4 linked regions of the Lytechinus pictus genome follow. The protein of the gene in region 2 purifies or fractionates together with the protein of the main gene of each other region. This does not show direct contact. Links are inferred from orthologs where the notes say so. Each region holds a gene or a part of one and is shown on either strand. Other genes may lie near its edges.

Region 1 (7,458 bases), on a different chromosome or scaffold from region 2:
TAAAATGGAAGCCAATTTTCTTATGCAAAGGGAGATTGCGCGCCAATGATACTTTCATATTATTCCGGTCAAGAGCGAGATTAGAGTATTTTATTTGAAAACCAGCTGACGCGATTTGGCTATTCAAAACGTTGCGTTCAAGGGCTTTCCTTTATATTTCAAGGTTAAAACCCACAAGTTCTGAATTGGTGACGGTCAATAATAAGGAATGAATTATTTGGCATCTAATTTTGAGGGGAAAAAACCAGAAGCCTAGCAACGGACCAGTGTGTATTTCTGCTGAGTTATCAAGATGGGGGAAGGCGTTTGAGGATAAGGATGACAAGCACGAAAAAAAAATCAGCACATAATGAACAAACACCCTCGAAATAAGCAGAAAATTCAATGTATTCGCTACTTAGTTGTATGGAGACCTTCGTAGTAAGAGGAAGCTATCTGTATTAGGGTTTCAGGGAGATACACAATTTTGTAACTTTCATACATGTAGTATATTAGCAAGTATTCTTCTTCATCTTGTATGGTTACTCCCGTATAGTAACTTGACAGAACAGTTTTTGTGCTGGTATAACGCCAAGCTGGTATAGAACCAATAACATAGGAATCAATTTACTTCTATTAGGCATAGCGGCTCACCTTACAGACTGAAATTACTCTCGGATTTTTTTCTTTTCTTCTTCTTCTTCTTTTTCTTCTTCTTTACTGTCTCTCTCCTTCTAGATAATCTGCCTACTTCACTACTGGAATTCTTGCTAATGTCAGGACACGCGTGTCGAAGTGTGTATTTGTGGGTGTGTGTGCGCGAGTGCGGTGTTTCCGTGTGAGTGGTAATCGGATGTTTGGATGTGCAGGTGAAACATTTCCATCGCGCAAGTACAAACAACCAAAAAAAAAGATCAAAATTATACTGTACAAAAGAAAAGGAAAGAGTAAATCCCCTTCATCTCTTTCCTATTCTGCATGCATGCTAATGGCTTCAACCCAACGACAGTCACCTCGATAATATTCACAAATGATTTTTGTTAGAACAGGAAATTGACAGGAAATCAACGGCATCAAATTTACCAGTTGTCCTCTCAAACGTCATTTCGAGTGCATTCAAGTGTAGGTAACGCCTCTTCACTCATATTAGCTTGCACTCGTCATGTTTTCCCCTTCATTTTGAATTTATTTTTAGATAGTCAAGAAACAGAATTCAAGTCAATGCTTTCTCTAAACCCATGTTCTTGTCTATATCCCCGTGTATACTCACAGTATCTTTAATAATGAACAAAATAATCAAAGAAAAGCCGAAGAAGTGAATTTACCTGTTCATTTAATTTTTTTTGAAGGATAAATGGAAAGTAGTGAAAGTGAAATTTTCTTCAGCTATTCTTAGATTAATTTATTCATTATTTCCTATCCTTGACGGAGAACACATTACCGTTAAATATATCTACTGTATATGTCTACCTATCTAACTCCAATCTTTCTACTTGTCTATTAATTATATCAATGAATATATATACATATATATATATATATATACATGTGTAAAGTTATACATGTACAACAGCATTGGCAACTCTTTTTATTTAAATATTGTAAAGAAATGGATGAAGAGAACAATGGTAGGCGTAGCTTAAATCATGGACCTATGAAGAGATGGACATTCATCGCTTAGATAATGAATTCACTAACAGGTGACGGTAATTGTCATCTGAATAACATTCTCTTCATACTAGTCTTCTTTGGTCCTATGATCGTCACCGTGAGAAGGGACTGAATTAGTTCGTGATTGGACATTTATATTTCACAAATTATATGCGCAGTTGATAGAAAATCAATGAAATAATGGATAATCGATGTGCAGTTTTTGTTTACCTTTGTTAATCTTAGTTCCATGTGTTTTATTTGGGGAAATGTCTGCATATTTTAATATAGAGGCAATATCGTGATTGTTTACCATTTAAAATTCAATTTTCCCAAGTTTCTCCATAATATTCCAGATATACGTGGCACATAACATGTGTAGATCGTGTATCTTTCAATGTTATTGAGGTCCTTATGTGTGAGCGGTAGTTAGCGGATCGAATAATATCATATTTTATATCATAAAAATCGTCTGCTTCTCAAGTTTGCTGATCCATATATGAAGCATATTGACTGAAAGGCACATACTGAAACAGGGGATCAGCCAACAAAAATCAAGACCGGGAAACTGTTCCGTCTTTGAGTGATCAGATACCCTTGGTAGTCATGGTAATTGCTATTGTTATAACACCTGTATGTTCTCATTAAGATGCGCATAACCAGGTGACGGTGACTATCATTGGGTCAAAGAAATGCTCGCGTTAATCGTCCATCTTTTCATAGGTCCATGCTTAAATCAAGGTTCCCCAGAGCTCTCTACCCTTTGGAAAAATTGGTGATGCCGAAAAAATGTCCCTGCCGGGAATCGAACCCGGGCCCCCAGCTTTGAACGCCGGTGCCTTAACCACTAGACCACAGAGACGGGTTAGTGGCTAGGGCGACCCCAATCCGATTGACCGTCAGCTAGACATATTTTCGACACTATACCAATTATAATTTCCTTTGTCGGGTGAAGGTGGGTTTTTAACAATGACAAACCGCCATGCCTCAGCTGGATCAAAGCTATTGCTTTGATACAGTACACGTATGGGAGAATGTATACAAATGTGTAAAGTTATACATGTACAACAGTATTGGCAACTCTTTTTATTTAAATATTGTAAAGAAATGGATGAAGAGAACAATGGTAGGCGTAGCTTAAATCAAGGTTCCCCAGAGCTCTCTTTCCTTATATATATATATATATATATATATATATATATATGTATGTATCCATTAAGATCCATTTGAAAAATAATTTTTGAAAAGCACTCGGTCATTTTATGATGAAACACCAAGCTTCTAAACACATCAAAGGTAATAGGTTTCTAAAGATGAAAAAATGAATTTAAAAAATGGGGGAAAATATATTAGTTGGGAGATCTAATCTATTATGAATCAATTTAAAACATGTTCCTTTTACCACGATTTGGATGTTGCAAGTGAATAATGGGTTTATTTGCATGAATATAAAGTTAAAAGGGGCCAGTATATATCCCTGAGGTACATCCATTATCAAAGGCAATAGAATATGAGATAAGAATCCTTTGACACGCAGTGTTAATCATCGTGTTCATTTAGATTGGTCCGACTATAACATGCTTGCCAACATGGAAATCTGCAAAAGCGGTAGACACAGCAAGGGTCTGGGTGGGGATGGGGGATTCCCCCCTTACTGGATCAGGGATTTTTTTACATCCACGGTTATCCTTTATAAAATGTTCAGAAACAAATCGGAATCTGATTTTCAGTTCTATTCTGTTAATTCATTTCCACTTTGAATATAGCTGATTAGTCATTGTTTCTTTAATGGTTAGATTTACTTCTCGAATACAAAAAAAATAAATAAATAAATCAAAATAAAAATAAATTAACTTGATTTGCCTACCTTGTTCCACTTTTGCCTTTAGACCCTGCTGACATGTTGCTCTTAATTCTGGCGGATTCGGAGATAAAATGAAGAGTGGTCTCAGGTATTGCCAAGATGAATCTGTATCAGGCTCGTTCGGAGTTTCCTGTTACAAAGGGCGTAAATGTCAACACAATGAACAAGGTTAATAGAGATGTAAGATGTGAACAAATAGGTCTGGGGTGGTAATATATCGCATGGATTTGATGGAATGATCGAGGAAGATAAAAATATCTTCAACGGATAGGGATGAACAAAAGATATGAAAACGAAAGCGAGCGAAAAGGTTGGGGGAGGGAAAGAGAAAATTAGAGGAGAGAAAAGAGGGAGCAAGGGAGAGAGGGAGGGAGAGAGTGGGGTTCGAGGGGGAAAGTGAAAAAGAGAGTGACAGAAAGAGAATGTATGATGGTGTGTATGCGTGTGTGGGTGTGTATGTTAGTGAGAGAGAGAGTGGGAGATATTGAATAAATGTGTGTTTGTGTGAGAGTGGAGAGAAAGAGAGGGGTAGAGAAAGTGGTAAGGGTGGTGTGTGTTTGTGTGTGGGTGTGTGTGAGAGAGAGAGGGGGAGAGATGGAGGGAGGGGGAGAGAGAGGGAGAATATAATTTGTGCGTGTGTGTGTGTGTATGAGAGAGAGGGGGGAGAGGGAGGGGAGAGAGGGAGAATATAATTTGTGTGTGTGTGTGTATGAGAGAGAGAGGGAGGGAGAGAGAGAGAGAGAGAGAGATGTGTGATGGAGAAAATATATTTTCAAGAACAAAATTAATAAGCAAAGGGGATTCTGCATCGTTATTTGATTAATAAAAACCCGTCGCTCTACCCATCAAGTGTTGCCATGTCAACCGAAAGAGTCTGTCTCTATTAATATATAGAGTATAGCACTATGTTTACATGCAACCAGCACTTAATGACCGAGAAAAATACAGTGAACATTATGAAATCCTCTTGAAGAGCTTCTTCATTGATATTTATGAAATAGTGTTTTTTATGTGCATGATCTTTGATATAATCATGTACATGTACTCGCGAGACATATCATGTTTTTTTTTTTTTTTTTTTTTTTTGGGGGGGGGGCGACATGTTAGTTTTTGATTGGTAACGAATGTGATGTTGATGAATGAGGGAATAAATGATAAGAATGACGATAATGATGATGATAATTATGATGATGATAATAATGCCGGTTATGATACGATGGTGATGACGATGGGGATACTACTACCGCTAACACAACTAACGCCACTACCACCTAGGCCTACTTCTACTCTTACTACTACTACTAAAACTTCTACTAGGCCTACTACCACTACTCTACTACTACTACTACTACTACTACTACTACTACTACTACTACTACTACCACCACTACAACTACTTCTACCACTTCTTCTTCTACTACTCTACTGCTGCTGCTACTACTACTACTACTACTACTATTACTATTACTACTACTACTACCACTACTGCTTTCACTGTTATTAGGCCTACTACTATATACATGTACTTGAACTTTTTCAAAAATAACGCTTGAATTATTGTGGATGTTGCTACGTCTGCACATGCTGCAGAAATTAACCACTAGACCACACGCACTAGAAGATACATTCACGACTTAAATATTCAACCCACATCTTGAGCCCCCTCTTGTCCCTGCTAATCAGCCTTCTACCCCACTGGTAGGCGGGAGGGGGGGGGGGGCAAAATATTTTTTGAAAGGGAGGCAAGGCGACCTGTAAAGGTGACGCCAATCTAATCATAAATGTATTGCAGGGTTACACGGTCCAGGCTTCTCTTTTTTGTCCCTTTCTTTCTCATTTCTGCCCCTTTTTCTATATATTTCACCACTTGAAAATTCACAGGGGCAACCTCCCCACCCCTGTCGCGTCGCCCCCTGTTCTTATAGGCTATTAATACAAATTTCTTGAAGGCGAGTGGCAAAGATGAGGGATCGCATAGCAAGAACAAACAAACCTATTGACTCAAGCATCTATGGTGATTGCACGCGCCAAACCGAGTGGCTGCCTCGAGGAGAAGAAAATACCCGGGTTGACGGATGCTACTCTATTGACACCATAATATCAGCCACCTTGGAATATCTAAATGGCGATGATGAATGGTTTGTTGACATGACTGTGGAGCGCCATTTATAATCCATTCCAAGGTATTCGTTATTAGGCGCTGTAGACCTCCCACCCCCATCCATTAGTTGATCTTGGTTTAAGAGACGACTGACGAAGCTTTAAGTACGCCATCGGTGAATAATTATAGCAATAAATATCATGAATTTATATTGCGTAATTTGTATATGGATATACTCAACCGCGCAATACAATACATAGCAGCAATGGTGTATCAATGGGGGCTTGGGGATCGTGCCCCCCCCCCAAAAAAAAAAGGGGGAAAAAAGAAGGAAATTACGACCAAGAAAAATAGTTTAAAAAAGAAGAAAAAATACAATATTGTAAAATATGATATCGTTTTTACGGTCAAAATTTATAACAAAAATAAATATGTGTATCGAAAAGGACAAAATCTTTGCTCGGGCGCAACTTTATTGTTTGTTCCCCAAACGCCATGTCTGGGAAACGTCAAATTATTTCTTTCTTGCTCCACTGCATAGTCGATAAATATTAGAAACATCCTCACAGAAGCGCGGAAGCATACTACCTCGAAAAAAAAACCCATTACAACAGAATTGCCTTATTTATTGAAAACTCTCTTTACAAATTAAATAGTTGCCAGTTTGATAAAACAAGAAAAACTATTATGTTCAGAACTACAGACCAAAGACAACAGACAGATGCGATTGTCGATTTTAGTGACCGCTAATGAATCTTTAAGTCGGGTCAAAACAGCCAGGAATCAGACCACTTTTCTTATTCACTCCTATAAGTTTTCATACACGCGAACTGCTGACCCACAAAGGTTCGATTCAATGATTATTTCAAGAGATGGTTAAGGATTCATCATAAGTAAACAACAAGGATTATCAATATTTCATAATTTAATCTAAGGTTTTGATTTATGTAAATGCAAGACGGCCTCCAAAATATAATAAAAATGTATAAACAAAAATAAATAGTTTATTTATTTATTTATTCATGCATGTTTACAATGTACAATGTAAAAGAATACACAGATAATATATAAATATATATATATATGAAACACAAGTAAATAATGAACATACAAAGGTGTTGCAACATAAGCTAATAGCTTGATTGGTTGAAGCACCTTTAAACTGGTTTTGTACCAAGAAAACAAAAATAAAAATGTAAGAATAAGGAAGAGAGGAAAGAAAGAAAAGAACGTAAAAGTGATAGACTGCCGAGATATAACAATTAAGTTTCAAATTGTTATGAATATATGGTATAGTAATTCAACAGAGTTAAATTCTTAATCTTCAGTTACGAAGAAAAGAAAGAAAACAAAACTGCTTATATGTATACGTTACTAGCACTTTACAGATTCTGTAATTTTGAAAGGAGATTGTGCTTTACAGCCAATTTAAAAGAATGTGAGGTTTTCAAATTTCGAATATTATGTGGAAGAGAATTCCAAACATCTGAAAATTGACGGACGGTGTAAGCAATTAATGAAGAAGTTTTAAGTTAGTGATACGGGTTTGAACGGCTTTGAAAATTTATTTAAAGATAAATATCAATGTGCGCTACAAACCAAAACCAAAAGTCAGATTCAGTGTATGATTCAAATGACTGTTCCGAAAATCTAAGTAGGGCATAATGAAATAGGTTCCAGTACATTCATTAATAGTGTAGACCACAACAAAAGTCAAATTCAGTAAATGGTTTTAGTGATTTAAGGAGACTTTGAGTTTCTAGAAGAAATGAATCGAACAGCAAAATTCACCAAAAGGCATTCAATTACTCAACGTACCGATCAAAAATACAAATAACACGGTTGGTGTAAGAGACGTCTCAGG
Region 2 (7,951 bases):
ACGTTGAACGTAATACTGAATGACGAGACAAACGCCATTCTGGGATTCCAGGGAGGCAGGTAGGTAATAAATTATTTTGATTTGATTTATATCATGTACGGATGTACCTCATCTCTGTCATGTCTGTACAGGCAGGCGAAGTCATTCCTTCCATTCGACGTGTCTGTTCGTACGATCAGTAAAAATGTCTCTACATGGATGGCATAAAGTGCTGAACAGCAAATGATATCTCAATTTATCAGTACATGTAAAAACAGTTTTTTCCGAAGATACAGCGGTAATTAACTTGTAGAGACTCTATAATGACTTATTGTATATTGTGCCTGTATAATGATTTTCCAAGTTTTTTTCTTAAGAGATAGGCCTACGGGCAAAATCATACATTTGCACTTCCATAGTCTAACATAGAAAAAATAAGTCTTTTATATCAAAATTACATTACTTATTCCCCAATGAAGTGCCCAAAACGCAACGTAATAAATTCATCATTTTCTTACATTCATCATTCGCACTATATGGACAGACCTGCATGGGGCCCGTAACACAGAGCTTAGCAATGATCGTAGAACATCTTTCTACGATTGATTCCTTTGACTTCAATGTACAATCAATCGTAAAAATCCGGAGTACGAGTTATCGCTAACCTTTGTTTTACGGGACCCAGATTGGGATTACAAGATACGTAAACTGCTCGCAATCATGAGGCAAAATATCTCCGTTTATTTTATCTTTTGTTTATTAGTAATAACTGAAACTACAGGCTTGGTGTGCATGGGAAATATTTAATTTCCATCTCCACCAACAAATCTCAATTTCATGGAGGGCTTCTTGCAGCTTAAATTGGCGAACCAGTTGCAGGCCAGTGCATGTAAGCGCGTTTTTATTTGTATTGATTTTGTATTTATGTTATTCTCATTTGTATTGAAATAAATCAATGAATTTAATTCATTTATAATAAAACAGTTCTAAGTTGGAGCTAGTAAATCGAATTGCGATATCATCGGCGTAACATCACTGATAATTCGGCTCTATTTTTAAAAAAATCTTTAAGTCGTTTAACATCAATGTAAAAAGGTCCTTGTGGGATTTTGTTTTTTCCTGTGCGCCTCTGAAGAGTAGATGGCGCTATAAACGCATATTATTATTACTATTCATGATGACCTTTTCATCCCAAGAAATGCAGGTGTACATCTCATGCCTCCTGGTTTTCTTAACTAGAGTTGTTATTTGGAAATTTTAACAATGTTCAGATGAATTTTACTTGCTGTTTGAATTTTAAACAATTCGTTTACACTTTTTAGTGTGTGCCATTCTGGTTCTGCCTGCTGCCTGCCCCCGAAATTGATTGATAAAATGGTCATCACCCTTATGATCATTATCATATACGGATATCTTACCAGATTTTCAGCGTATACTGCAGGAACAGGAAGCGCTCACAGATAATAATCGTCAGTTATATCGACTTAGGTCTTTTCAATCATATCCAATTACTTGTGTTTTGTAACATGTTCGTTTTACTGATTGGAGGGATATATATATATATATCAGTGGCGGATCCAGGGGGGTGGCGCAGGGGGCGCGCGTCCCCCCTAATATTTGAGCGGCGCCGAAGGCGCCGCTCAAAAAAAAAGTAAAAGAAAGAAAAGGCGCTGCTTGAAAAAATAAAAAATAAAGGAAAGAAAAGAAAAGGCGCCGCTTAAAAAAATTATACACTGATATAATATTAGCAACAGTAAGGAAAGACTATCCCCCAGCGAAGCACAATCATATCATCTTCCTTATCTTTTTTTTAACTACCCTTTTCCCAACAACTTCGCCTGTTAAAAATAATCAGCAGTGCGCTGCCTGCATATAACTGGCGCCAATCAAGAATAATCAGCGCCACCTTAATCTAAATCGGCGCCAGACAAGAATAATCAGCGCCATTTGGTTATAAATCGGCGCCAGTCGAGAAAAATCGGCACTGCCAGAGTCTTAACCGGCGCCGATCAAGGATAATCTGCGCCACCTAAATCTAAATCGGCACCAGATAAAAATAATCGGCGCCATCTGGTTATAAATCGGCGCCGGTAAAGAAAAATCGACGCTGCCTGAGTTCTTAACCGGCGCCGATCAAGGATAATCAGCGCCACCTATATCTAAATCGGGGCTGGTCAAGAATAATCAGCGCCATCTGGTTATAAATCGGCGCTGCCTGAGTCTTAACCAGCGCCGATCAAGAATAATCAGTTCCACCTAAATCTAAATCGGCGCCGGACAAGAATAATCAGCACCACCTGGTTAAAAATCGGCGCCAGTCAAGATAATCGGCGCCTCCTGGTTCTAAATCGGTGACAGTCAATTATGAATTGCCGCTGCCTGAATCTTACGTGACGTCGGTAAAATAATCAGCACTACTTGTTCTAAATCGGCGCCGGTCAAGAATAATCAGCGTCCCCTAGCTGGTTCCAATAAATAGGCGCCGGTAAAATAATGAAGAAGGGCCTATTGCCAACCAAATCTAGATCGGCGCCGGTCAAGAATGATCAGCGGCACCTGGTTATACATTTTATTGTTGAATGGTCATAACAAATTTTATCACATGCCCTTACAGAGTGGACTGGGGCGGGGCAGTTGCCCACAGAATGACAGATGTCATGAAATCTTTAATTTATTTTTAAAAAATCCCAGAATCATACAAAAGCGTAGAGCAAATCCTTTAATTTTGATCTTATTTTCCAATGCTTTAATAAAAAGAAGGTCAGTCACTTTTCTTCTTTACACATTCCACATTGTGCCACCTCTATGGCCTTTAGTTTAAGACAGCTACTAAAGTGTTTTATGAAGATGATTCGATATTTTAGCCCAAAACTTTGCTAAAACCCGTTGCTAGTACCGGGAGTGTATAATTACGCAACCAGTCGTATATTGAGATTGAGCTACACAACTGGTTCTTTATTTAAAATCGTGCTTAAATTATCCGCTTCTCAGATTGGAATATAAAAATTTTCAGCTCGCGCTTCGCGCTCGCATCATTTCTGTAGCAAAACCCCATACTTTTTATGATTAAATAGGTGAATAGAATGTCCCGTTTTCAGTTCTAAACGTCAAAAGAACTCCCGCTTCGATTTGCAATAATCTTTTGCTGGATATAATCTTGTTCTTTATTACAAACGTCCATTAAACTGTCATTTTTTTCAGATCGAAATATCAAAATTTTATGCTCGCGCTTCGCGCTCGCATCTATTGTTTTTTTTTAGATACCCATCTTAATCATTGGTACCAAATATGCATAGAATATCAAGCTTTCTGGTCAGAATATAAAGAAATTTCAGCTCGCCCTCGGCACTCGCATTATCTGTGTAGTGAGATATGTATCCTCCTCATGGGTTACTACAAACAGTCCTAAACAGGCACCTTTTTCCTGTTTTCAGGTCAGTATATTAAAAAAAATTCAGCTCGCGCTTCGCGCTCGCATTAATTTGTTGGTGAGATATGTGTTTCTATCTCATGAGTCATATAAATATATATATATATTTATGTGTGTGTGTGTGTGTGTGTGAGTTTGTTTGTTTTGTGTGATATCGAGCGCCTTTGGAAAGTTGATTCATGATTTTGCCCCCCAAATCTTAAAAAAAGGATCGACGCCCCTGTGTATATATATATATATACATATATTTAAAAAAAACTTGTATCTCTATTAATATACAAAAGTATTGGCCTCATTGCAATAAAAGGGTTAATACACGAGATTTTGAAATCGCACATAACATGCATAATTTGTGTTACTTTTTGCTTGTTTCTTTCTTCAATAAGTTTTTCAATCTCTCTCTATATATGTTTTAGATTATATGTTTAAATTGATGTATATTTTCTGTTATAATGAAATATGTTTAAGTGGACTTCAGGGAATGGTCGTACGCAGCAAGGGGGAAGGGGGGCACATTCGCGATCTGCTGTTGTGAAAAACAATTTTTTTTCCCTTAACATTTCATGAAAACTATAAAAAATGTGCAAATGTGAGATGTGCACCAAATTTTCGAGTCTTGCCCCCCCGGAAATATTATCTGCGTGTGGTCATGCAAAATGGTATGACTGGAAATCCTACATTTTGAAAAGAGCATTTGATAGGGTCAGATTTTACCCCTTTTTCAACATTTTCTTTTGGCGCCGGTGAAGTGCAAAAATATGTGCGCCGCTCGGCAGTGCGCCCCCCCCCCCTTTCGCCAAAAGCTGGATCCGCCTATGTATATGATCATATATATATATATATATTCTTATATATATATATATATACATATATAATTATGATCATATATATATATATATATATATATATATATATATATATATGTATATATGATCATATATATACATATATATATGATCATATATCCAAACATTCCAGAAAGACTTGCCTTAAGAACTATTCAAATATTCATTATGCGTTTAATTTTTAACTGAAATACTTTTGAGGATCTGAATTAAGTATTCATTAAACAAAAATTCATTTCATTATATCAGTTATACTAGTAAAGTGCTTTGCTCAATTTGAACTGATTCGATCATGGGCCCCATTTAAAAGTTCCATCATGTCCATAGAAAAAAAAGATAAAATTATCTTGAGGTGAAACTGTCTGCTCGATCGCTCGCTTCGCGCTGTCTGGCACATTTTATCCCATATGCATATTATAATCCATGTTCTGCCCCTCATCAGCTCAATACATTATGGGGAAGTGAATATTTACTATAATACATTCTTTATTTTAAAAAAAATTGGCCCTCATCGCCATATGTCGTTACACTCCAGCGGAGACCGTACCAGTACACCAGCAGACTAGTCGACTCGAAAGAAAACCTTGAAACTCTTCACTCAAAGTTCCACATATGAAAGCTACACACGTACACATGCACTGTACACGAACTTTCGCCTCCGAAATTAAAACACGAGAATCTCTGCGAGTGTTTATCATGGTCCCATTCCGGGAAAGACGTTTATTTTGTATTTTCAGGCATCATGATTGACTGATGTTGGATAGGTAAGTGATAGATTACTCTAATTTTGGCCAGTTACAGATAAACCTGAGTTATTAAAGTTTACAAGAATTACTCCGATACATCTTTGAATGTGAGAGAGTAAGATGTGTGAGATGCAATCCGTATTGCATTGGAGTACGGTACGGTACTATATTTTTGGTAGGCACCTTTTCCATATATCTGTCTGCATTGAAACTACACGCAAATCCGAAATGTGTATGTGTGTGTGTGAGGCCCATTAACGTTGGTTTGCTGTTGTGGAGCTGAGCTGTTTGTTTGAAGAGAATGAGTTGCTGCACAGCCACAGGGATTCAATTTGGTAAAAATCCTGACTTTGGAAAAACCGACTTAGCAAATACCCTCTGTAGATTGAGTTCTTACTGTTTTTCCTTTTACAGACCAATGTCAACTGAATTAATATTCTTTTAAGTTAAAGTTAAGACATTAATTTGCATGTTTAATACTTGAACTTTGAAGCCTTCGAATTTGATCAGTTTTATATAAATCAAATGTTCTACATGAAGTTCCTCATTTCTGAATCTGAATTCAAGAATAAATTATCACCCTGCTAACTTCGTCAGAATTAAATGTCAGTCACGCATTGTTTTCTATTGAACAAAATATGGAATATTTGATTTTTTATTCCATTCAACTTTTTAAGAAATAGTCTTGACCACAAAGAAAAAACAGTATTTGTGACATTTGTTTACTCAAAGTTCCAACTTAAAAATCTATGCATAGATTATTAAAACTAGGGAAAGCTTCATTCAGGCTAGACAGCTGGCAGCCGTCTGTATCGAGGAGTTTTTTAACATTTTTTATATTTTCTTAATTTCTCCTCATACACAGACGGCTCGCTATCGTGCAGCCACCATTAGGGGACTTGCAATTCAAAATCCCCCCGTCGGGGCTCTTCAATTTTTGTCTTTAATGAATCAAACATTTGAAAATTAACGCGACCGAAATGCAAATTAATATTCCCTCTTGGCATTAATTGCCAAAAAACGGGGAAAATCAAGTTAAAAGGAACAAAAACAGTGACTTACCTCGGCTGTCGCACAACTTCACTGCCCTGTTTTATCCGAACTTAATACACATAAACATATGGCCATTGAGTCCCCTGTACCGATCGCGCTAGAACTTCGGTTTCTGTATTTGGTGAGTGAAGCCAACGGAGTTCAGCTGAACAACCAACATAACAGAGACCAAAGCTTTTGGTCTACATTCAGGCCTATTATAAATTAGAAGTTTCATTACTAATTTGTAAGGTTATCATTGTGTCTGTGTTAATTTGTGTTGTTTATTAAGTTTAAAGGGATGGTCCGGGCTGAAAATATGTAAAATCTATTAAAAATCACAGAGCAATATGCTGAAAATGTCATCAAAATCGGATGAACAAATAACGAAGTTATTGAATTTTAAAGTTTATTACTATTTTGTGGAAACAGTTATATGCACATTGTCCTGAATATTCATTTGGTGGGCTGATGATGTCACATCCCCACTTTCCTTTTTCTTATGTTATTACATGAAATTGTTTCATTTTTCATACATGTGTAAATAATGTGTCTCCATTATGATGAAATAAGTTGCGGCAATAAATAACTAATATTGTCAATCCAATTGTTTTAGTTCTTGGTTGTAAAATTTTGAATAAACCTAATTTCATATAATAAAATACAAAAGAACAAGTTGGGATATGACATCATCAGCCCACCTAATGAATATTCATGAAGACATGCCTAGAACTGTTGCACCAGAATAATGCAAATCTTTAAAATTCTTTAACTTTGTTATTTGTTTTTATATCCGATTTTGATCAAATTTTCAGCATTTTGCTCTGTGAATTTTACTCTATTTATTGAGATATATAGGGTTAATATCTTCAGACTGGACCATCCCTTTAATGGCAGCCATAAAAAAATGTCTTCGTTTCCCATTCAATAGACCATTCTTTAAATGAAATCTTGAATTTGAAAACTACATGAATTTATTGATCACCTCTTCTCTGATTCTCTCTCTCTCTCTCTTACCACATCTGTGTTATCTTTTGTTTTCCGCTTTAATAACATAACAACAAGGTTGAAGCTGAAATAAGAAATCAAACATATATGTAAACAAATTGTTGCTTGCCATTATTTAGTACAATTAAAAGTTTGACTTGTGAGTGTGAAATACATGTATGTACTTTCTTGACCATATATGTACTGGTATTTTCATAATTGCATCCATCCATATTCTCTGTAGGGAGTTATTTTCCTTTTGATAAATTAATTTCAAGATCAATTTTAAAGAATGGAGCTCCAACAAGCTTGTAAAGGATGACAAGAGTAAAGCCTAATTGCACTGTTGGTTACTTGTATTGTATCAGATGTTCATAAAAACGTCCAGTTTCTTGGTAAAAGATGATTTTTTATGGAAAATTATGGTTCATATTTTACTAAATTAAACTGGAATTCTGGCATATATATAATATATATATATATATATGATATATATATACATGCATGATATATATATATATATATATATATATATATATATATATATATATAGGCCTACAATATTTTATGGAAACATGCATGGTATAAAGACGAGGTTGAACTGTAATTTTGTAATTTCTAACCAAATTTTGCAAAAGAAGTTAGGTCGGAAAACCCCCACTGAATTTAGAAAAGCACTTCTCCTTCAGCAATATACATGTACATGTAGGGGAGAGGTCCATTAAGGAATTTTATCATGTATTAGACAAAGCCTGACATCCTTACTAAAACAGAATATGAAATACATGAGGGTGACGGGTGATTTTGCCCTCATGACAGCCGAAATCGCCCCTAAAATTCCCCCCAAAATGCACGTTTTGAGGCGACCATTCTTTTTAGAGCCGCCCCAAGGTCTGTTCCAAACAATATTGCATATTATTTTGAAAATAAAT
Region 3 (8,077 bases), on a different chromosome or scaffold from region 2:
GGTGACGTGGACTGATTGACTCCCAAATTCCGTGTGATTATATAGTTAGTTGTGGACAGGCTTCTGGTTGCTTCCTTATAGTCATTCATGCTTTCTCAGAAATCGGGTGAAAATAATCGATATTGATAGATAGATAGATACATACATACTACATATATAGATAGATAGATAGATAGATAGGTGGGTTGGCGGACGGATAGGCAGAGATGGATGGATGAAAGAGTGGGTGGATGGTTGGATGGATGGATGGATGGATGGATGGATGGATGGATGATGGTTGGATGGATGGATGGTTGGATAGATGGAGGTATGGATGGGTGGGTGGATGGATGGATGGATGGATGGGTGGGTGGATGGGTAGATAGAAAGAAAGATAGATAGATAGATATAGAGAGAGGGGGAGATAGATAGATAGATAGATATGGGTACATAGATAGATCAAACTACTTGAAAAAAATCTTCTTTAGGGCCTGTATGGAGGAAAATGAAATAAGTAAGGTGGTGACTTTCAGCTTTGACATTGTGGGGAATGGCGTCACCGAGAGCTGTCAATTCAATGTGCCATTGGCGTTACAGAACAGGTGTGTATGTCATTTGTCATTATCCGGCATGACAATAATCAACGGGTCGTGTGTTTAAGTATTCTACCATTACAAGGTGAAGTTAGCTAAACCTGCACTTTTACACGTATTTCTCAATAGATACAGATCTTGAATGAGATCGAACACTTGAATTAGGTCGAGCAACAACCCCCGCCAAACTTTTGTTTTTGAATGAATTTCATTGAGATTAATATACTTCATTAAGTTTTGTTGAGTACTTAAGATGGAAAATGTGTTAGATTTCGATGGTTTACCTTAGATCAATGTGATTAAAGGGACCCCTCCCCCCGGAAAGGGAAAAATTGAAAAGGAAATTCCCTAAAATCAAAGAAACAAATATTGACCCCACACACACACACACCCCCACACACGCATACACAAATAAAACGAATGAATAGAAAGGGAATAGTTTATAAACAACGGGTAGGCATATGGTAGGTAAAGTTGTAAAGTCATTGGTGGAATATATACCCCATGCACCCGACATCCAGCAACAATTATGTGCCCACTATATTCTAATAATTATCTAAAACACCACCCCTACCCCCCCCCCCTCTCAGCCGTAAGTCCCATCCACCATGTTCAGACTGGAAATATATTTTTCGTAACTATAAATTACTAATGTCGATAACTAGGCCTATAACTTTTACACTTACTTCTACCATGTCGACAACTCCTAACACTAAACCATTGGGGTTTTTTTCTACACGACTTACCTTCATCAGAAGTCTTTTAGCGTAGTATCATGCAACAATCATCCATTTTTATCATTAATTCACTGAAACAATATCCCATGAATCATCGTTGTGCTAGACTTTCTCTTCACTTTCTTCCTTTAGAGATAAGACTTCGGCTGATGTTTGACCCTTTTGTCAAATAGAACTGGGTGGTCTCTATATAAATCCTATCTCAAGACAGTTTTATCATTTTACATTCAGGGGCCGCGGAACGGTTTTCAAATTGGGGGGGGGGGCGGCTGACCATGCAAAAAATCACAATCATATGGTCATTTTTACGTTTTTGTACATGGTTTTGGAAAAAAGTGGGGGGCTGAAGCCCCCCCCCCCCCCCCCGCTTCCGCGGCCCCTGATATTGTAATTATTGCTTGAACTTTATCAATGGAATTTGAAATATAAAAAGAAATAAATTTCCCATAATCGTTCACATTATTTTTTTTTTAGTTCATAAGAATGAAATTCATTCTTTGATGATCATTTCAACGATATGTTACTTATTATTTTTGCATGTTTTTATTTTCCTTATTCTTTCACTATCTAATTCAACCAATATGAAACGAGTTTTTTCTACACACAGTCAATAACCTTCAAATAAATTAAATTATATATTCATGTATAATACAGTTTTGTTGTTCATATGCATGAATGCGTACAATTTTGCTTCGAACAATTTACAGTTTGGATATTCTTGGTTCAGAAAATGGTAGTAGGTTGTAGCATTAGACTAATTTCGACCATGCAGCAATTGCACAAAAATTCGGTTGTTGTTGTTTTTCAGGCCTAGTATATATGCTTTCTCTAATTTTTCAAGGAAACGATATTTGTAATACGTTCTTCAACGTTCTTTTTTTTAACACAGGAATGATCTCAGTATAGTCAAGGATGAATAAACAGCCTTCCATAAATAAATTCATATATTGCTATGGTAACTAGAAGTTTGTAAACAATTATTAATTGAACGTGAAAACATTGCCACCCTATAATGCTCCATTTTTTACTCCTTTTTTATGTCGCCTTGGAAACGTTTCGAAACCACACAAAGTTTGACAGTGTAAATTTAACCGATTTTGGAGAGTTAAAGTGACAAGGGGCTGACTAATAATCCACCACATCAGTGATTCCACTTCCCAGTTTAAGTCAATTTGTGTAATTTTGTCAACTTAGAATAGCTCATCATCAGATATTCACTATTCTATATATACCTTTTTGCATTCTCTTTTTCGTTTTCATTTCCTCTCTTCCCTTTTTTGCTTATTTCTTGTTCCTTCTTTTTTTCTCCATCGATCTTTTCCATTCTTCACCCTCATATTGTACTCGTTCTGATATTCATGTATTCTATCATGGACTTTCTTTCAAGTATTTGAATCTAAAATGTACTTCCATTTAACTATGTGAATAATCCATTTGTCATTGTTGCAATAAAGAACAAATAATTTGTCGTTAATAGTTCTTTAACATGGTCACTTGTCCAATCTATTTGTCAATTAACAATTCTAAAATTACCAAATAATCACGTAACGTCCTTGTATCGATTATTATGGAATCAATTCAATTCGGACTCAGAATTCATCACTTTGTGGTATTATCCTTTCTTTTTCATTCATGTAAATCCAGTCTTCCCATATCTTTTCAATTAAAAACCTAATTCATTTGCAGTGATAAAGTGACTGAGCTTTTCTTGATCAGGGGCGGTGCCACCTTCTATGGAAGGGATGGGGACATGGTCCAGGTTAATTTGCTTGCATTTTAATAATGATAATAAAAAGATCATTGTCAGTAGTAGTATAGCATTATCATGAAAACCTATAATCTATTTTCCTCCAGAATTCTTTTTTTTTCTTTCCAATAATAAAATTATCCTTTCCTTTTCTCTTCAATAAAAAAAACCAAAGGGTGGTCACCCCAATGCAAATGACAGACTTGATCACGTGACACTTGACACCGTCATACAGCCTTCTCACGTGAACTGATGACACGGGTTACACGTATATTTACCTTTGTTTATTTAACAATAAAACATCAGGTTCAGAGTCGAGCTATTTATATAGATTCAAGTCAAATAGATTTACTGGTCTTTCACGCCTATAAATGGCAAGTTAAGTTAAATTTTATTCCAGTTTGCTGTCGATAATTTATCCCCCCATATATCGTCTAAAGTTTTTTATTGGGAAAGGCGTGGAGCTGCAAGGTCTACGACAATTTTGCTCTACCAACTGAGTCATGATTAGAGCAGGGATTCGAACCCCGTAACTCTAATTTGCAGAAATTAAAAATAAATCCAGACGGACCGTAATAAGGGACCGATCGAATTCTGGATTTAGTTTGAATCCTACAGATTCATTTTTTAAATCTCAAAGTATTAGATATATCCCTCAAGTGTTTTTTAAGATTTAAACTAAATCCACAATTCGATTGATCCCTATAAATGCAGTCCATCTAGATTAATTTTAAATCCCTGCAATTTAGAGTGCGTATCATGGAACAATATTGAATGTTTCTTTCAAGCAGTGGAAGTATAATTTAATGTCTAGGCCTATATTGCGTTAATACTAAAGTTGTGTTAACTATTAACATGGACATGTCCCCACGCGCCCCCTTCCTCATCCTGGTTCCCCACCCGAATCTATAAACCCCACAAACAATACCCAATTTATACTAAAAATGACTATATTTGGAGAATAACAGATTGGTGGTATACCTCGTCATTGTCATTCTACTCAGAAATAAAAATCTTGTTGAATACAACTAAAGCAGTAAATAATACTTATTAACAAAATCATATCAAGCTCACGATTTCATCTAATCATGTTTACTAATTGTAGTTTGTTAAAGAGTGTTAATCCAATGAAAGTTATTATCCAGGATTTTGTTTTAGATGGGGGGCATTTTGTTCTCAAAATTTGATAAACAAAAATATATAAAGGGGAAAAGACACGAAAAGGAGAGTTTGCTTCGTGGCCGGTTCGTGGCAAACAGAAACCTTAACAAAAATATTGCTGACCTTTTTCAGTTGTTCGGCATCTTTGCATTCAACTGTGAGAAAATAAATCTAAAGAAGAAGAAAAAGCCTGCGATTTCAATTGTGTTTATACCCATTCGGATATACTTCTCTGGAACATTATTTTCTCTCCTTTTTCAGACCCGCGCGAATATTATACGTACCGAGTCTGTGAGCTGATCAATTTTTGTGAGAGACAAGCAGGTTCGCATCGTCTTGCGCTCATTCCGCGAAAGAAGTCCGTGAATGGAATTATTACCAGTAACACTGCATTCACATGCAGATACACAATGGTTCGTATAATTCTATTCTTTTACCTTTCCTTTCACTTTCTCCATGATACCGTCTGTGTTTAGTAAAGGAAAGACCCTTTGAGGTATTGTTGATATTATTTAAGTAAGGTTTGTACGAGTGTATTGCTTTTATTCGAGTTCTTTGGACCGTGCAACCGCGGAGAGGACAATAGAGCGAGCACACGAGAGTGCTCGGTTGGGGCGGCTCGGGCGAGGGAAGATTCGACGATCCGCAGGTTGCTTCGCAGCTACTTATATTCATTATTCTATATCTTTAAAAAGCATCTCTCAGCTGATAACCGCTTCTTGGTCCCAGTTTGATACCATCCTTAGGTATTCAAGCACCTCATCATCGGCCTCTAGGTTTTAATATCTGGATTATTACTCGTCTGACATCAACTAACCTTGGATTAATACGGAGACTATATCTGCAGACGATAACTCAAGTTTGGTCCCCTACTGGGCACCTAATCATTTTGGACGTGCTCTCTCTTCCCCATCTCCAATTAAGTGATACATAATTTGGATAGCTCAATTCTATTTGTCTTTATCTCTTCAGATTCGTCTTCGATTTAGCAGAGACCAGTCGGGCGACATGTCCAAGGGCAAGGGCTCGCCACACGTCGCCCAATGGGACAAGCAAAGTAAGTCGAAATCTACTTCCCCTTTAAACTCGACGTCCGTGCAAAGGTTTATTAATTCGATTAGTATATGTTTACGATTGTTTCTGGAAACAAAGTCCATGATGAATTTCAGAAGAGAGATAAACGTTGTTTGATGATCGAGTGTATAGCCTATTTATTAGATGCCTTGATAACAAACGCGGTGTGTTTGTGGGTGTGTGGTATTGGTCAGTATGTCCCGATTTAGAAATGATTTTAGCCATCACTATTTTTGTGTACCCATGAGTAATGATGTATATTGTGGGGAATTATTGTTCAACATTGTGGAGAACATCGATCATTGATCCATTTTCTATTCAGAATGACCCATCTATTCGTGTTTTAAACATAATGAACTAGATACGAAGTAATAGTTCAATGCACTTCGAGTTTGCATAATTTATTGGACACCAGATGGCAAACATTGCTATTTTTAAAAATGAAATAAAACTTGTTTTTATTTTGTTTTAAGTGTAAACTTGTACTAGTACGTTTAACGTATACTAGTATCACCACCTACAATATAAATATTTAACGTTATTCCATTCGGTACTCACAACGTTTTACTCACAATAAAACGCTTCTATCTCATCTTTTATAATTATTATTATGCCTTGATTATGGTTGGCAACACTTTCATGATTAAAAAAACGAATAGGGGTAATTCGTGACCATGATTATTATCTGCATTTAAATGGGTTTGTAACACAAAATGGTTATAAACGGATATCAAATATACATCGTAATAGTAAATATGTGACTTGATCTCACTTTCAATATATACGACATAATATTTATTGTTGACACCAATTACACCTCATGGTTTGTTTTCGGCCTATTCAACTTGGAAACCACGTTCTGAACAAAATTTTATCAAATATTAGTACATTCGTCGAACTGAAACGCTCTCTTTTTGTTCTGTACATAATATAAAAAGGTTAGTATTTCTTGTTTATTCCGAAGCTCACTGACTTGTAGCTTTACATGATTTTAATAATAATAATAATAATATCCAATTTTTAGAAAGCGCTTTTCCCAGAATGGCTCAAAGTGCGTTACAGCATATTATTACCCCGGTCATTGGATTCATTTCAATTCCGCACGAAAAGTGCACAATTTCCACTCCCTGGGGAGCATTCCTTGCATTCATCGCAGCCTCCTAAGTACACAATTCACCTTTAAAATGTATTTGGAGTTAGAAGCCCCCTTTTTTTATTTTACCTCCCGCATGTAAACGCACTCTGACTTCCGAAGCAATATGTTGTGTACCTTTAATTGGTTCATATCGTAGCACACCCAGCAAAATGTGCTGGTCATGCTGGTGGGTTTCGAGGAACTATATCGAAGGACACCGACTTGTCCCTTTAAATATACTTTTTAATCCCGGATTCTTTAAACCGCGGTAAATCCTGCATGCCATGGTAACGAGTAATCTTGTTTAACCTCCCGATAACTAAATAGTGAAGCCAGAGAAAGTTATATTGTCTTTACTTGTTTTTGCTATTTTTGTCATCCGGTGTTCGGGTTTCCAAACGGTGCCTGCTTTCCGGTTGAAATAGGAATAATGTATAAGAGCTTGTATAACTCCGGACACACACAATACAAGTGAATGGAAATGATATCGAAATGAGTTGTATATTTTTTCAGTTATTGGTTGATTTGGAATACGTTTCGCAGTGTGACAGAATATAGATTCCCTTTACATTTAGATCAACCGAATCAATGGTATTATGCATACATGCTTCAATTTTGCTTGCATGGGATTCATCGAATCATTGTTTAACTTTCCAAGCAAAATATGTCCCATTTTGACGTGCAACTGAGGTGTCAAGAACAATAATAAGGGGTGTTCAAGGATGACCACACCTTCGGGCGTTAAAATACACCATGGGATTTTAATATAACACCAACAAATCAAAATAACATACACAGTGTGGTATATGTGGAGGAGCCGTGGTGTAGTGGTTCTGACTCTCGCCTTGTAAACAGATGGTCGTGTGTTCGAATCCCACCGCGGTCTGGCGTTCTTTGGCAAGGCGTTAATCCACACTTTGCCACTCTCGACCCAGGTGCTAAATGGGTACCCGGTAGGATGTGAAAGTCATTGTAGCTTGTCCAGTACTGTGTGCGCCTCACCGGCGACTGACTGGAATACTACCCAGGGAGTGGAGGATGTGCACACATTGTGTGCGGGAATGACTGATTGAATCCGATGACCGGGGTAATAATAATTTTCTGTAAAGCGCTTAGACACGTTGTTCCGATGTATTAAGCGCTATATTAAAAAACGGATTATTATTATTATTGAGTGTTGAACGAACACCGTGAATTTAACGCTGGTGTTAATGTTTGATGTGGTGGTCTGAAAACACTGGTGGTGTATAGTTGTAACACAATTATTATAGTGCAGTGTTCATTTACCATTCCCGCCATGATCATGATGAACAAAATGCAGAATAAATTTGTGAAAGTGTATTGATTGTTTCAATCAATGCACATGAGCATATTCGATACGCTATTAGCAGCGATCTGTTACTGTTCTAAATTACATACCCATTGTTTTTCTTTGGAGTGAATTCCCTCTTCCCCTAATCATATTTGGACTTACTTGGCATTCAGATGTTTGAAGATGCAGTTGATAATTCTAATCTACATAGATCATAAACTGTATCTGATTCAAATCAGAATGATTGGCATGAGTGATAGTGGTATCGTGTGATAGCAGTTTGTCAACTAAAGAGGCTGTTCTGACGAAACAAAACTGGAAATAATGAATGAATAATTA
Region 4 (7,502 bases), on a different chromosome or scaffold from region 2:
ACTTGTGATATCTTTATATTGCCCATCTGAATGGGTTGATTAAAGATTTTAAGATGAACCCTTCTCCAATTGCAGACAAGTTTCTTTAAGTATCTTCACAAATATTTGGTTTTAAAGTAGTTTATTACTCATAGGACTATATTGTTTTAATAGTACCTTTGATGTTTATATTAAACTCACAAAGAGTTTTAAGTGGGCTCTTTTGCTAATTGTAAGGGCTGTATTAATTTCATCTTTATCTTACCAAATTCTCTTTTCTTTTCCTCCTCTGGAACTCCATTCTCCACTGAACCTTCCTCTCCATCTTTGGACTTGCCATCCTTCAAACCATTTGTTTTCACTTTCTCCTTCTCCTCTTCTAGTTTCTTACTTGCTTCCTTTGCTTCCTCTAGCTCATTGTACCTGTGTAATACGATTAAAAATTAGGGAATTTGGAAATGATAACTTATTTATCATAATCATTATCCATCACTGCAGGAGCTCACTGTACATATGATTTGTTTAAGATGAAAATTCAAGGAATTTGAAAATGATTACCTTTTATAATTATTGGTCATTACTGTATGACTCATATTTTTTGCAAATAGATCTTTATCGTCGGAAGGCTTCTGCTGCATATTGGCATGTCTGTGATACATGTTCCCACCAATACGAGCTACCCTTGGTACACCGACAAATCAATGGGGTGCATGATGCATGCAGTGTCCAGATATATATGGGCAGTATAGCTACACTGTACTGTACACCATTGATATAGTAATTAAAATTTGACAAAATTGTGACAAGTGTGCTGCAAGGATATTTTGTATGGTGATAAATTTATGTTTTTGTTTTTTTCAATTTCAAATTTGTGAAAATCCCTCACATAAGAACAGGTTATACATATACAAACTTTCTACTTGCATTGCATAATGAAAATAAAGATATGACAGTGATAGCTCAAGATGCTTTTTGCACACATAATTTGGAGAAAATTTCAGGGAATTAAAAAAATATATAATTCTTACATAATCTATGAGAATTCAGGTATAAGATTGAAAGTTGTATTTTCCTCGAAATACAAAGATGTTATCCTTACAATGAGTAAACTAGCACTAATTGGTTCATACGTGATCTACAATGCAAAGAGTGAACCACAGTGGACCGACATGACACTTCTTCACTGACTCTCATTTTGAATTTCTCCAATATGATTGTTGTACATCTAAAGATAATTATTTGCTCATTTTTCCGTCAATATTATGCTGTTCAGATTATTATGGCGTAAGGGCTGATTCCTTTCCCCTTATACTTCACCCCCTCTCTACCTCTTTATCTATATTCTCTTCTCCCCTTTTCCTATTTCTTCTCTTCTTTCCAACCTATTCCAAACCATTTCCTTTCCATCAGCCCTTGCTTCCTCATTCTTCCCCATTCCAACCATTCTTGTTTCATTTATATATGCCAGACAGTAATATATCATATAATTTAATATATCACACCTGTTACATATACAAAATATAAACTCAAGATTAAGGCCTACCTATGTGAATTTACACTTTATCTGTTCATATATTCATAATTGCATAATTTATATATTTTTGTAATTCCATATGTTAGTACGATGACCTCATTTCAAAATAAGAACAACCTAAGTTAAACCACGGGATAGCACATCCCCTCCTTCCACCTTCTCACCACTTTAAGTATAAATTTTGCTATGAATTGAATTGACGCGTTTGATATGTAAATAATTATTATATCTTGTTTTATGTTTGTTTATGTCTATCTTTACTGTATTCAATTTATGTTGCCCCCTGTATTACGTTCGTTTAGAACTGGTAACCTGGGCCCATTATTGTGATTCCCTTTTTTATGAATAAAAGGTGAGTTATAAAAAAAAATATGCATACAGTAAACATACATATTTTGGGCTAAAACTAGTAAGCTGACATGTAATGTGAAGAACTAGAAATATTTCGTTCCAGAAAGAAAAATACTCCAAACACTCCCAATGATTAAGGAATCACATTGAATTCTCACCTCAAGGTCAATGATGCTGAGAGTTCCTCTGCCTTATCTATAGCCTTTCTGCATCCTGCCTTACCAATGAGAGTATCAATATAATCCTAGAAAAATAAATAAAAGAAACCTTAAAAATGATTTCAGTAGATATTATCCAGTCTTTGAAAAAAATGGTACATACATGTATAGAGTTTGTTAATATTTCAAATGCATATTTTTCTATGCCACATGTTAGTGAATTTTATAATGTAGAATACAAGGAAAGGCATGAGTAGTTGTTGAGATGGTAAATGCTTACTCACTTAATCAATGGTGCTTTGTCAGATTTAATGTCTTATCTCCTTTGCTCAAATATTTTGTTTATTTAAGAGACTCTCACTCCTCTATTAAAAAAACAAACAAAACTACTTGCTACAGAATTGGATACTTTCACCTATAATAACAGAGTCAACTTAAACTTACCTTGTTTGACTTATAATCTTTTGCCTTCTGAACAGCTTTCCATAGTGTGAGGTACTTCATGAACAGAACATAGGCACGTTCCTCATCAAGGTTTTTATCAGCTTTTTCTGCCTCAACGAATACCTTGTTAGCTGATCTGGCCAATCTGGTGTCAGAGTGAAACATAATATACTGCATATTTTTGTAGCAAAACCCAAATGATTCATGAAAATTATACATGTGACATATACTATACTTTTCATATAATAACATTTTCTGCAGTGGCATTTAATGAGACTGTCGTTTGGGTTAAAAAGCATGATTTCTGGGAAGTTGTGAGTTGACAAAGTGAACAAGCCCTAAAAACCCTATTTTCATGAACAATGAGCTTGATCATTGTTTGGGTACATCCATGTTATCTTATTGTAAATATATTTCTCAGGGCTAAAATGCCCAAAGTGATATATGTGAAGATTATCGATTAGCCCCAAATGTGAACTTATTACTCACATTTTTGAAGTTTGTCCCTTGGTTATGTTCTGGTCCACCTTCTTGTTGAGTTCCTCAATGGAGGAGCTGATGTAGAGAGGTTTCTTCAATGCTCCGGGCATGATTACCGGCTGCCTTCCTCAAAGTAACAAGCCTCACAAAAGAATGCAATTTAAGTAATTGGGACTAGCTATCTGGTCATAGAATCTTGAATCAGTCAGACTACATCTTCAAAGTAGCATCTAGACTCTATTAACATCTGTGAATTGAAAAAAGATAGAAACTTTGATATCTTTTTGCATCAGAAAATGGAGAAATACCTTTTAAATCCTGTCATAAAAGACTTCATTTATAATTCAAACATCATGACTGCAGATTCACAAAGATGCTGTTCACTAAATTCAATTTATTGCCAAACTATGATTGTCCATACAGGTAGTTTGCCTTGACAAGACAGCAATTTACAGAAGTTTACAAGCAATACATTGTATTCAATAAATAGTTCGGGAGACTGTCAGAAAATATTTAAAAGCAAAAACCTTTGCAATTATCTGTGCTTTTTATAAGTATATTTTGTAAAATCTCTTGATCTAGGGGATAAATTGTATGTTTTTGTCACAATCATTTATTACTGATTATTTATGGTATGTTCGTTGAGTGGTTACGCTTCCATCTTAGCCTGTGCAATGGAAAACAATTGCGCAGTTGATAGACTGATTGCTCGGCGAGAGAATCAAAACCATGATAGTTCCGCTACACGATCAAGCCGTTGATATTGGAACTGCTTTCCATGATAAAAGCCAGGATGGCGGCGAACTACTCGCTGCAAATATCCCCTCATTTTTTTCAAAAAACAAAATAGGACTAGCATTTTGGGAAAGAAAGTAAAATTTTGATGTAATCGTTTTGTCAAAATATTTTGAATTGTCATGTCGTACTTAGTTTTAAAAGGTAGTAGTAGAATTGGCCGGCGGGAAGGTGATTTTCAAGACATTGTTTACATAAGGCAAAGCCTCTCATAGCATGTGTACATGTATGACTTAATAGAGATGCAACTATATCTCTGCTCCAAAGAGACAGCAGAACTCACGCAGTATATATAGATCTGCATCGAGCCACCATTCCTTAACATTTTTCAATTATGGAAGAACTTTAGCGCATGTGTTTCCCATGCTCACTATGTCATCTGGTGTTTATTCAACAAAATTAACATCTGTAGCTAGTCTAGAATGTACATGTAGCACATGAATAGTAATTTTATTCATTACAGGGATTGTCTCTTTGTAGTCACATTTCCTTAATTTTCTTTCAGAAAATAATGATTTCGTTACTTTGGATGCTTGATTTGGGACTAAGAACCAGTTGGTTTATGTTCTTAAAATCAAGAATGACAGGGGCGAAAAAGCATCTAATCCATAACAGGTGGGGTAAGCCCTGCTGGTAGTATGCACTAGTGAGAGTCCTGCTGGTATGAGGGGGGGGGGGCATTTCTGTGCATCTAAAAATTGAACCTAAGAATAATTATGAATTTCTTTGAAATTTCAGAAAATTTTTAGTTGACATCGTTTCTTATAAAGCCAAAATCTCATAAAAAATTGAGCAAATATGTACTTCCAAATTTACAGATGGGGGGGGGGGGGGGGGGAAATGGTGCCACACATGTCTGCTCACCCATTCACATTAGACATTAATTTAAGAATTTTTATGAGAATGGCTGCATTTTGAGGCCATTAGAATTACACATGCAGGGTAAAGAGCCCAAATATTGGACAGTTCTAAATATCAAACAAAAATGATTTCAATTCCCTCTCTACAGCATGTGATACTATTAGTTACACCCTGCTTGTTCCCGTATTTCGTAAGAACAAGCAGGCCATAGCAGGGTGTAACAGTTTTATCTCTTTAAGGGTATCCTTATATTATTGCAGAATAAGGTACAATAGTACTAAAAAAACCCTGCATTTTGAGAGTGATATGAAAGGAAGTCATTTATGACATCACAATGATCACAGTAAAGAGAATGGGTATTTTGCAATTGAAATTGATGCGCAAATAGTAGTGCGTAGCGCAATGCTTGAATACACACATAATACGGTCTCATACTACGTGGTTGAAATCATCACTGGGTATGCGCATAACAAAATTAAAACAACAACAGCTAAACACGGGTGATATGGGCTCATATTACCTTTTTGATCTTTGTGACCAACAATAATAACAAACAAATCGACCAATCAGATTACAGAATTCATGAGAAAAATAGTCCACTAAGAGATAAATGAACATGTCTTCTATTGCACTGCACACACAGTAGACCCAGGTTGCTGCCCACAAAAATTATTCCAGGGGGTCATACATAGGCCTATAATCAAGGAGTGCAACTGTTTTTCGAACTGTAATTGTCTAAGAACTTTCTAAAAGATGCATCAATTTCTTTGAAATTAAATATGTTCATTAGTTATTACCAATACTAAAGTTAATTAACCCACTACAAATGTAATGAAAAGTACTAATTAAATATAAATACTAATTACCCATATTGATGAAAAACATTGGGTAACGCATGATTTTTCATTAAAGGACAAGTCCACCCCAACAAAAAGTTGATTGGAATAAAATGAAAAAATTTCATCAAAATCAGATGTAAAATACTGGTAAGAAATTTATTATATTCTAAAGTTTCGCTTAATTTCACAAAACAGTTATACATGTATGCATATCTTGATCGGTATGCGAATGAGGAGACTGATGACGTCATCCACTCACTATTTCTTTTGTAATTTATTATCTGAAATATGAAATATTCTTATTTTCTACTCATTGTCAAGTGAAACAACAATTAATTCCTCCCTGAACATGTGACATCCAACTCATAGGAGTGGTCTTTAATTTCAGACCTTAAAAATAACTTTTCAATCATTTTTAAAGGTCAAGTCCACCCCAGAAAAAGGTTGATTTGAATAAATAGAGAAAAATCAAACTAGCATGTAACACTGAAAATTTCATCAAAATCGGATGTAAAACAAGTCAGTTATGACATTTGAAAGCTTCGCTTATTATTCACAAAACAGTGATATATGCACAACTCGGTGAGATGCAAATGAGACAGATGATGATGTCCCTCCCTCACTATTTCTCATGTTCATTATGGTTTGAATTATACAATATTTCATTTTTCACAGATTTGATAATACAGATCAACTTGAATGAACCATATTAAACAATGCTAAACATTCCAATGATGCTTTTAACTACTTTGTAACCTTGAGTTAAAATGAGATGGAGCTATCATAATAGTGATTTGACCAAGTGACACTTGAAACTTTCAACCCTTGGTGTAGGGTTATCCCCCATCATTCCTTCATATTGAAGATGATCTACTCTTCATTTTGATTACAATGAGTACATTTTAATTGAAGATATAAATTTTGAAAAGTAGACAATTTCCTCAGGCTAAAAAGAAATAGATCGGACATTTTTCACCATTTATCAATGGTCATTCAAAAATATCAAAAAGTAAAAAAAAAATGTTCCTATACCCCTACATGTATCTTTATAAAATTGCACTGGTCAATGAATTTTTGTACATCAAGGGCTCTCACTTAACTTTGGTTGCTGGCTGGGCAACCTATAATACACTGTACACTACTAGTATATTATAGGTTGCCCGGCTGGCAACTATTAAAGGGGAAAAAAGGCCAAGTGGCCTATTACCCTGCAAAAACAAATAATAAAATTTGAAACTTGATAATTTATTTATTTATAATCAAGTTTTAAATTTTATTATTCGTTAAATAATAATTTCTATCTATAAATTGTTCTTCAAAACGGCATTTTGTAACATCGCTTATCGAAGGTTATGTCATAACGATGCGGTTCAAGGGTCAAGCCTATTGTATTTGCATTGTTTACAAATGGATTGAGGGATCTACATGTACACAAGATCGGTCTGGAAAGAAACCTCTAATTTACTATTAAAACTAACACACTTTTTACACCTTCATACGCAGTAGGCATATGAAGGTTCATAGATAAATAAAATAGACACTAACCGATTTCACCCTCTAAATATGGATTTCCTAGGGAAATCCATCCGGGTGTATAGGTGTCGCTTATGCATGTATGGAAATGGTTTCAAGGCTTCGAGATGAAGAAGTACCGGTATGTCAAAATGTCAACTATGTCAAAATATTAAAAAATATCATCACAAAGTCCTCAAGTCTAGTCGAATGCCAGGGCCCAGGCCCAGGCCACCCATGGGTTCATATCATCTCGCGTGCGAAGGAATATCAGTTATATGCACGCGACACACACGACCCATCCAAAATATACTGGGCTTTTGCCCACATAAAATATCACGCATAATCTGGTATTTCACATTCTGCTATGACACTTACCGAATCATTTAGATCCTTCCGTGACTTCTCCTTGAAGTTTCTTTAAAAAAATATGTATATTTTCTTGATCTTTAGTGAAGATTTCACGGAGATAAAAATTGGTCAGCGTGGATATCAATTTTCGCCTAAAGAGGGCGCGCGATTTATATTCATATCAAAGACACGACAAGG

What was found.
Region 1: the proteins of protein smoothened-like (region 2) and beta-arrestin-1-like purify together in Drosophila melanogaster (affinity purification with western blotting, with the first as the bait; 4 studies listed by BioGRID). This does not show direct contact. The link is inferred for Lytechinus pictus from reciprocal best matches to the Drosophila melanogaster genes smo and krz.
Region 3: the proteins of protein smoothened-like (region 2) and cAMP-dependent protein kinase catalytic subunit 1-like purify together in Drosophila melanogaster (affinity purification with western blotting; 4 studies listed by BioGRID). This does not show direct contact. The link is inferred for Lytechinus pictus from reciprocal best matches to the Drosophila melanogaster genes smo and Pka-C1.
Region 4: the proteins of protein smoothened-like (region 2) and ubiquitin carboxyl-terminal hydrolase 8-like purify together in Drosophila melanogaster (affinity purification with western blotting, with the first as the bait; 4 studies listed by BioGRID). This does not show direct contact. The link is inferred for Lytechinus pictus from reciprocal best matches to the Drosophila melanogaster genes smo and Usp8.

Annotation. Positions count from the first base shown.
Region 1 is NC_087260.1:3,960,781-3,968,238, forward strand, and holds the start of beta-arrestin-1-like, read right to left. Parts: upstream 3,532-7,458; coding exon 3,497-3,531; intron 1-3,496.
Region 2 is NC_087245.1:40,971,179-40,979,129, reverse strand, and holds the start of protein smoothened-like, read left to right. Parts: upstream 1-4,780; 5' UTR 4,781-5,018; intron 5,019-7,951. UniProt on the Drosophila melanogaster protein: Segment polarity protein required for correct patterning of every segment. G protein-coupled receptor which associates with the patched protein (ptc) to transduce the hedgehog (hh) signal through the activation of an inhibitory G-protein.
Region 3 is NC_087255.1:30,786,852-30,794,928, reverse strand, and holds the start of cAMP-dependent protein kinase catalytic subunit 1-like, read left to right. Parts: upstream 1-4,847; 5' UTR 4,848-4,866; intron 4,867-5,189; 5' UTR 5,190-5,225; coding exon 5,226-5,274; intron 5,275-8,077. UniProt on the Drosophila melanogaster protein: Serine/threonine-protein kinase involved in memory formation. Promotes long-term memory by phosphorylating meng and by regulating CrebB protein stability and activity.
Region 4 is NC_087247.1:24,369,633-24,377,134, reverse strand, and holds the start of ubiquitin carboxyl-terminal hydrolase 8-like, read right to left. Parts: upstream 3,195-7,502; 5' UTR 3,057-3,194; coding exon 2,956-3,056; intron 2,612-2,955; coding exon 2,467-2,611; intron 2,109-2,466; coding exon 2,023-2,108; intron 403-2,022; coding exon 245-402; intron 1-244.